2 linked regions of the Drosophila melanogaster genome follow. The protein of the gene in region 2 interacts with the protein of the main gene of each other region in a pairwise test. Each region holds a gene or a part of one and is shown on either strand. Other genes may lie near its edges. The genes, in order: DIP1 and Zcchc7.

Region 1 (3,926 bases), on a different chromosome or scaffold from region 2:
TTTGGAAGATTTTTTTAAATGGGATCTTGCCCCCGATGCCGCTGGCACTGGTACTGGCACTGGTATTGTCCTCTATATTGTCGACGGACGGTTCATCGTTGACAGAGATCGGCTCCTCCTTGATGATAACTGGCATGGGCAGTTTGGAGGCAATGGCGTCCGCATCCGGATTATTCTGCTGGTCGGACGAGTTGGCCAGTTGAACGGGGGCAGGAGCCCCTGGCGACTGAACAGCCAAAAATGCGTCCTGTGGCGATTGAACAGCCACCGGGGAGGCCGATGTCGGATATAAAGCCACCGGAGAAGACTGCTGCTCCTGGACATTGGCGGCCTGCAACGGCATTTGGATCAAAGGCTTGACGGTGGCATTGGGATTCTGCGTTTGCGAAAGAGTTTCATTAGTCGATTAGTTAGCGAAGGCAACGGGTTCCGCCTGGCTCGCCAGGCTACCCTAGACAAAATCACTTGCAGCGGACTGGTCCAGTGGGTCGACAAAAAAGCGACTCGCTGGCCAACGGAAACCATCAAGTCGTCAAGTTACCCGGAACCGTCAGGGTGGTCGGCTGGTCTACTTAAAACCATAGTTCCGGAACTAGCCATGGCCATTCCTGCGACCCAAGTGCCCCGAAACGAAGCTCTGCACCAACGGAGCCAACTGCCCAGCGACTGTGGATCTCCGTTTATCGGATCCAGCCGAGGACTCCGGGACCAGGTAGTCTATGCTAATCTATGAAAATCAGGTGTACTGCACTATTAGGGTAACCAATGTCTCTTTAATTCAATGGGCATAAAAACCGCAAAGTCCGGTTAACAAATAAATTCAGTCTCATGGTGAGTTAACTTTTCGCTAATGTATTCTGTTTGCAGAGAGGTTCGAGAAAATCTAATTCTAATTCTAATAGAATTTTCTCCGATATGCAAAAATAGAGTAAAATAATTGACTATCGACCTATACGTTTCACAATTCTGTCTATTTTAGCATGAAACAATAGTTATGGGGATCCTTCGGTCATCGGCTGAGTTCATGGTCGCCGGCTCGTTTCGGGCACTTTCGGTGGAGTGAATGGGCATTGCTATCTGACCCAAAACTAATAATTTTAGTTACAGTTTCGGGTGAATGCATTTTCAGTAGCCATAAAAGTTAGCGATAACCGCAAGTCCAGCGTGAAACTATAGCAGTGCTGGCCATATCTAGTTGATCGAAAGCACGAACGGAGTGGAATGAGTGCAATGCAAATGGGTGGGTTACGAATGTAAGGGGAGAGGGGAAGGTGGTGGATGTCTGGGGGGTGCATTGTGAATGCTGGTGGAATTCGGACAACGGTCTGCACTTTCGATTAACCCGCTTTTAGTGGCTATTGCAAATGAGTTCACAATTGTGGTGAATTGTGAATGAACACTTTCACTTTGTGCGCTGCAAATTATAGAAATAAAAACGAAAACTTTGTTATTTCACAAATCAAATATGGATGATTCCAACAATGGTTTTTGTTTTCGTGATGCATTTTCACTCGGAATACATATCTTCGTGACGTCACAGGGAATTCTTAACTCACACTCCTGCACACACTTGCAAAAAAAATTAAGATTCTTACGTAAATGCCTCCAAAGACAAATGGCTTGTTGTTTCCAGCAAATGCACGACGATTTCGCTTCATCTTGATTTTTTTTGTAATTTAATTTTTCACTTTTGTAATTCGCTTTTTCGCTTTTGTAATTTAATTTTTCACTGCTCAGGTCACAGAAAGAATCGTACTGCACTGAAGTAAAAAACTTAAGTAGGGATGTCAAAATATATGTAAATATATCGATATTTTTCACATATTTCGAAAATCGTTTTTAGTATTAAATATATTATAGACATTTCACACTGGCCATAGTAATATAAGCAAAGTGATGGAAAGACGGCGGAAAAAAAAGAGCAGACCAAAGATTTTATTGTGAAATAATTAAAAGCATGCTAAAAATAGCACGACGATGCTCTTTGGAAGTGCTTAAAAGTTATTGCGAAAATTTAGAATTGAAACAGTACTTCTGTATATCGCGAGAATATTATAGCTGTTAAATTGTGTGCATGGTAATTCCCTACATTTTTGTTTGACTGACTGACATTCAAATGTATTAAGAAAATAGTATAGAACTCGAACCATAAGCGCATGACTTTTCATGACTTGCAAACACAATTTGCCTGTCTGCAGCGTGGGCAAAATCTATAACGTCAACAAAAAACAGGAAATGTTTTCACACTGTGTTAACAAAAGTTTTGCGTTTCCTCAACTACAGCAATAGGAAAGTATGCGACTTTGTAAAAATGAACACCAAATCAACTGAATTAACTATCTACATTGGGATTAATAGGTGTGTTTTTCATATTATGCATATATTAAAAAAATACTAATGCTCAAAGTAAGGTAAGATACCTGTTACTTAGATAGTGGGAGTGCGACGGAAAATTTTCGACATTATTTTTGCATATCTATAGAAAGTTGCAAGACAAAAATTTTATTTAAAAAAATGAATATTTTTCAAAAGTGTGGGAATGACAGTTTTGGATAAACGAAAAATAGAATAGGTGTTCACACTGTGTTCACAAGAGTTTTGCGTTTCCTCAACCACATCAATAGGAATGCAAGCGAACTTATGAAAATTAACTATCTGTGTTGGGATTAATAGGTCAGTTTATCATATTTTGCAAATATATTTGCTATATATTTATATATTAATCGAGGTTTTTATTCTTTTACGAATATTTAAGCAGTGTCAAACTGCGCTGCATAGGCATACAGGCATAGTCCCTTAAGGTTCGCGAGGTTTCAAAGGTCACTGATTGGGCAGACGGAAAAAAGAATATGGGACAGCTCGACTCGTCTTGTGATCCTGGACTTACAGGGAACTCAATACACACATATACCAACCCACTTGCAGAAAATCAAAATCAAAATCAGAGTACGACTTACCGCGTATTTTGTAACTTTTATATTGTAATTGTAATTTAATGTTTCGCTGCTTAAGTCACAAAACTATTGACGAAAACAAATCAGGATCAAATAAAAACCACAAGGTAACCATATTTCTATGTTTAAATTGGAATATCTGAAATAAAGTGGTCCAATATTTTTAACTGAGGTCCACCCAAATAAAACGCCAAATAAAATACCTAATACTGTCGCAAAAGTTTTCTTCACTGCGGTACAAGAGCATGACCGAAATCAATATACGGTGTCCACGAATAGGAAAATCGTACACTGACAATAATCTAGTGTCAAATTTGTATAGCACCTATTAAAACAACGTTCTCAACGAGAAAACTTAAAGATAACATCTTAAATATAATTGTTTAGTCGCGTTTCCACATATGCACATACGCACATGTGCCAGTTTGAATTTGAAAATGAAATATGTAGAAACCAATTTTTAAACAAAAAGACATGAAAATACATGAATTTTGTTTTGTGTATATCAGAAGACTTGATTTGTGGGTTCCTTTCGTGAGTCTTCTTTTGATTTCTCTCAGTTGCTTTATGACGCCGGGCGCGTGCGCATTTAAAACAATTCTCGAAAGAAATGTTCACAAATTAGTTTAAATTCGAAAACGTTTCGGTATGGACGCAAGAAAAAGGAATTCTAAGAAATAGAAATTCTAAGCGAAACAACAACGAAAAAGGAAAATAATTTAAATAGGGATAATAATATACAAAAACATAACAACAAAAACACAACGGTATTAAGGAATCTGTTTCAGAATTTCAGTGAGTTAAATCTGTTAAAAAGTTCTGCGGTTAATTTGTTTGTTTCTTTAACAAAAAACGTAATCTAATATTTTAATTATTATCATCAGCTCAGCAGCAGTGTAGAATATATTGGCCTAAAATACTAGATATTTTATGTTAATATATTAAATTCGAGTGACTTACGTCACCCAAGAT
Region 2 (3,926 bases):
GTGGCTTATTCTGCTTCTTGGGCGGGCAGTTCGGTGGGATGGCGACTAGAAGTCTCTGGTCAAAACGCTCCGCCTCGTAGGCTTCGTGATTCACTTTGGTGGATGCGTTTGGCTGCGGTTTTGGTTTTTGTACTACTGGCGCCGACTTCTTTTGCTGATTTTGGTGCTGCTTGGATTGTTGATTTTGTTGCTTAAGACTCTGCTGCTGTTTCTGTTGTGAATTTTTTTGCTCCTGAGGCTTTGCCTGTTGATTTTGCAATTGTTTTGCATGAATATTTTGCTGTTGCTTGGCCTGTGGGATTTGCTGATGTTTCGGGGGCTGGCTAGCAGTTTTCGGTTGATTGGACGTTCCCTTTTCGGGCGACAGCAATAGACTCTTGTCTTGCGGCATATCGACATCCATCGATTGTGATGAGGAACTTTCTTCAACAGCTAAGAGACAAGAACCATAAATTAAAATGTGATTCTTATATTTATTTGTATAGGCGATATGAATAAATGTGAATAGCAAATTAGCAGAAATTCTTAAGAATAAACCAAATCTTTTGATACAACCCAACATTTTCATTGACAAATTAAAAATGCAGTTTCTGAACTATAGCACCAATTTTAATACCAAAGTGGGTTAAGCATTTGACTAAGACGGGAATTGGACATGTCTTCCCCCTCGACGTCGTTCAGCCTGTAGCCTTGAAGTGTCAGATCCGACAACTGCGATTCGCTTATGTGGAAGAGGACAAACGCCTCTGCCAGCACATCGGATCGATTGGGCCACAGTAGGACTCGCACCGCTGTGCGAAACTCATCGATTGCCTCCTTGATCAGCTGCTGCGCCTCGAACAGATTGGCGAGTGGCGTCATCATTCTTTCGCCCAACTCAGACTGCTTAGCCTGCACTTTGAGAGCCTGCTCTAGTTGCCTGACCAGCCGCATGAAGACGAATCTGCGGTAACGATCTTCAAAATACTGTCGCGGCATATCAAACCGACTCATTTTCCGCTGAACCAAGGCAGAGAAGATAAAGCCATCCACACACGAGCCCAGCACACTAACGCTGGCCATCAATACGACTGCAGATAGCATGTACTCCACTAGTCGTTGGTCCAGTTCCTCGCACCAAAAAAACAGATCTCGGCCATGCCGCGCCAGTTGGTAATGGAGCAGGCAAACAATGCAGACAAGGTCGAGAGTGGCCAGGGCCAAGGTGCAATGGTTGAAATGGCCCATCCGCCTTTCGAGCACCTGCAGACCGCACCTGCCCAGGCCCAGAAAGCGACTGAGGAAGCAGGTCATCATTGGAAGGTTATGGAGAATTTTGAAAGCACGCCAACGAAATAGTTTTGAAAAGGATGAAAGCAGCCTAATGCCCAAAAGCTGGGCTGATCCCCACTGATGGAAGTAGGAAATGTTCTTGACTACTATGAAATGGGGCGGAACTAAAAGACTACAAATGAACTAGCTAAGAATACCTAAGATTATGAATCACGTTTAATTTTTTTTGTTTTGAGTTTTAAACAGTTATAGCTACAAATCGACCGATTAAATATGATTATATTTACTATGATTTAAATTACCTAATAACTTGTGAGATATTGGATCTTATTGGATCCTACCTTTTTTGGGTACATTTTTGGGTATATTTTTATGCTAGCTTATGGTTTTTATTACTTCATATATACCATTTGCCAATGGTTGCCACTCACCTGGCATTGTTTTGTTTGTGGTGGCCTGCTGTTCCTCCGCCTGCACCACCTGCCCCTCCCCCACAGCTGCCGCACCATCGATCCAGTAGCGTGGTTTCTGCATGCTGTTGTTGATCACTCGTGTTCCGCTGACGAAACGCTGTCCGGGAATGGGATGCTTCTGCTGAGGAGGCGGTGGCATGCTCCTGGCATCCTGGTCGCTGGTTGACTCCTTCGCAGGCTGATCCATGGCAGTGTGCTCTTCGAATCCATCGCTGTAGTGGATCGAGGCATATAGAATTGATTCTAGCTCGTTCAGCCGTTCGCTGTCCATCTCCTCAAGCTGCGGATTGGAATGCATTAGATCGGTAGGAATAACGGGTATTTGGGCCAACACTCACATCACTCATATTGCGCGTCTTTGTTTTCCTTTGCCTTTGATTTATTTTTCCTGCGCATTGATAAAAAGTAATATAATGAAAGAGAGCACGTTGATGGCAGTGGTGGGCAAGCTGGAGAGAGCATGTCAATCGAGGCAGTGATGACACTCTGGCTATCGGAAAATGTTGCTATCGAATAGTAAACTAAAAAATCTGACAACAGTACTTCTACTAGCTGGCAAAAAATAAATAATTTACATCAACGAACGGTTCGAATTTGGTTTAAGTTTTAAAATTAACACTTAATTATTCACTATGGCATTATAAATAAAAATGAATAATTTTCCACTCCGAGTTTTTTATCTCTCAAAATGTTAAATTAAAATTTAAAATTTACAAAAAACCAAAAAAAAAACCAAAAAAACCAAAAAAAACCAAAAAAAAATTTACAAAAAAAAAAAATTTATGATACTTCTCGTTTCGATACGTGTAAACTGGCAGTCAATTGTGGGTGCCTCCGATAACGATAACAAGAGGAGCAACCCTAGCTGCCGGGCCACGTACAATTCGCGTCGAAAAATAACAAGAAGTAATTAAAGCTAAAATTCAATGTAAGAGTGCCGCAAGTGTGTTAAACTAATAGCTTAACCGGATCATCTTATTTCTAGTATGGACGTAATGCAGCGCTACGTATCGCCCGTGAACCCGGCCGTTTTTCCCCACCTCGCCACCGTGCTTTTGGTCATCGGAACCTTCTTCACCGCCTGGTTCTTCATCTTTGTGGTGTCTCGAAAGAGCTCTAAGGAAAGCACCTTGATAAAGGAACTGCTGATTAGCCTGTGCGCCTCCATTTTCCTGGGATTCGGCATTGTTTTCCTGCTTCTAACCGTCGGTATTTACGTATGAGATAAGACACCATTCCGCATAGAAATAAACTGAAGATCTGATCGTGGGCGTTAACATACATGAGGCCTTTGTTTTATTTAGGATTATTGTTATTATAATTTCAATTTTTAAGATTCAATTTGCGCTTAAAACTTATCGAATATTTTTGATGGTAACATATAAATCGTCTGCACGTGCTCGCACTACCCCGTCGAATAAGAAATCACGGCAACTGTTGAAATCATGGCTCTTCTAGCCCGCTAGACCGGCCTTTTGTCTGCACTTCTGCATGGTGGCCCGTAGGATGAATTGTTTGCGGGATAGCTGTCGCACGTGCTTAAGAAAGGTCTCCAGATCGATGACACCTCCGCGGAGACCCTCGCCCAAGTAATATATGGCATCCTCGGTGGCCGCTTCGTCGGCATAGGCATTGAGTAACCTGCGGGTGGATAAACCATTAATTATCTAGCATGAATCTTGGAATGCGCACGCAGACATTCAACTTACTGTCGGTAAAGTGGCGCTGTGGTGGTCACCGCCTCGTCGGGGTTAATGGCCTCGGCGCTCTCAAGATCTTCAAGAGCTTTTTCCAGCTCCTGCTCCTTGTCCTTTAATATACTTATGTTCTTTTGCATATCAATATGTTCGCGCTCGAGGCGCTCTATAATGGCATCGATCTTGGCACTGCCCTCGAGCAACTCCTGCTTGGTGCGATTGAGAGTTTCGATCTCGGCCTGATACTGATTAACTTTCTCCTGAACTCGGCGGCGCAGCTTGTCGTCGATAGCGCTAATGATTGATGCTTTGATGTGCTCCTCGGTAATAGTTCCCGTGGAACTGGGATTTGAGGGATTCTGAAAAGAATAAGCTTTAAACATTAAGAAGTCGATTTTTGGATAATAATCTAAAACTTACATATCCCGCAGCTGGTGGGTACCCACCGGCGGTTGGTTGTATGAAATTCGGGTAGGCCGGATAT

The links.
Region 1: the proteins of Zcchc7 (region 2) and DIP1 interact in a two-hybrid assay, tested with the Drosophila melanogaster proteins (one large-scale study listed by BioGRID).

The regions. Positions count from the first base shown.
Region 1 is NC_004354.4:21,628,379-21,632,304, forward strand, and holds the start of DIP1 (DISCO interacting protein 1), read right to left. Parts: upstream 1,771-3,926; 5' UTR 1,659-1,770; coding exon 1,596-1,658; exon of another isoform or gene 526-1,595; coding exon of another isoform or gene 466-525; exon of another isoform or gene 377-465; coding exon 1-376.
Region 2 is NT_037436.4:16,843,667-16,847,592, reverse strand, and holds the start of Zcchc7 (zinc finger CCHC-type containing 7), read right to left. Parts: upstream 2,208-3,926; 5' UTR 2,093-2,207; coding exon 2,084-2,092; intron 2,026-2,083; coding exon 1,704-2,025; intron 1,367-1,703; exon of another isoform or gene 1,297-1,366; coding exon of another isoform or gene 610-1,296; exon of another isoform or gene 593-609; intron 433-592; coding exon 1-432. Other genes in the region: CG32161 (uncharacterized protein), read right to left, coding at 610-1,296; kud (kuduk), read left to right, coding at 2,732-2,968; TSG101 (tumor susceptibility gene 101), read right to left, coding at 3,200-3,386, 3,455-3,801, 3,863-3,926.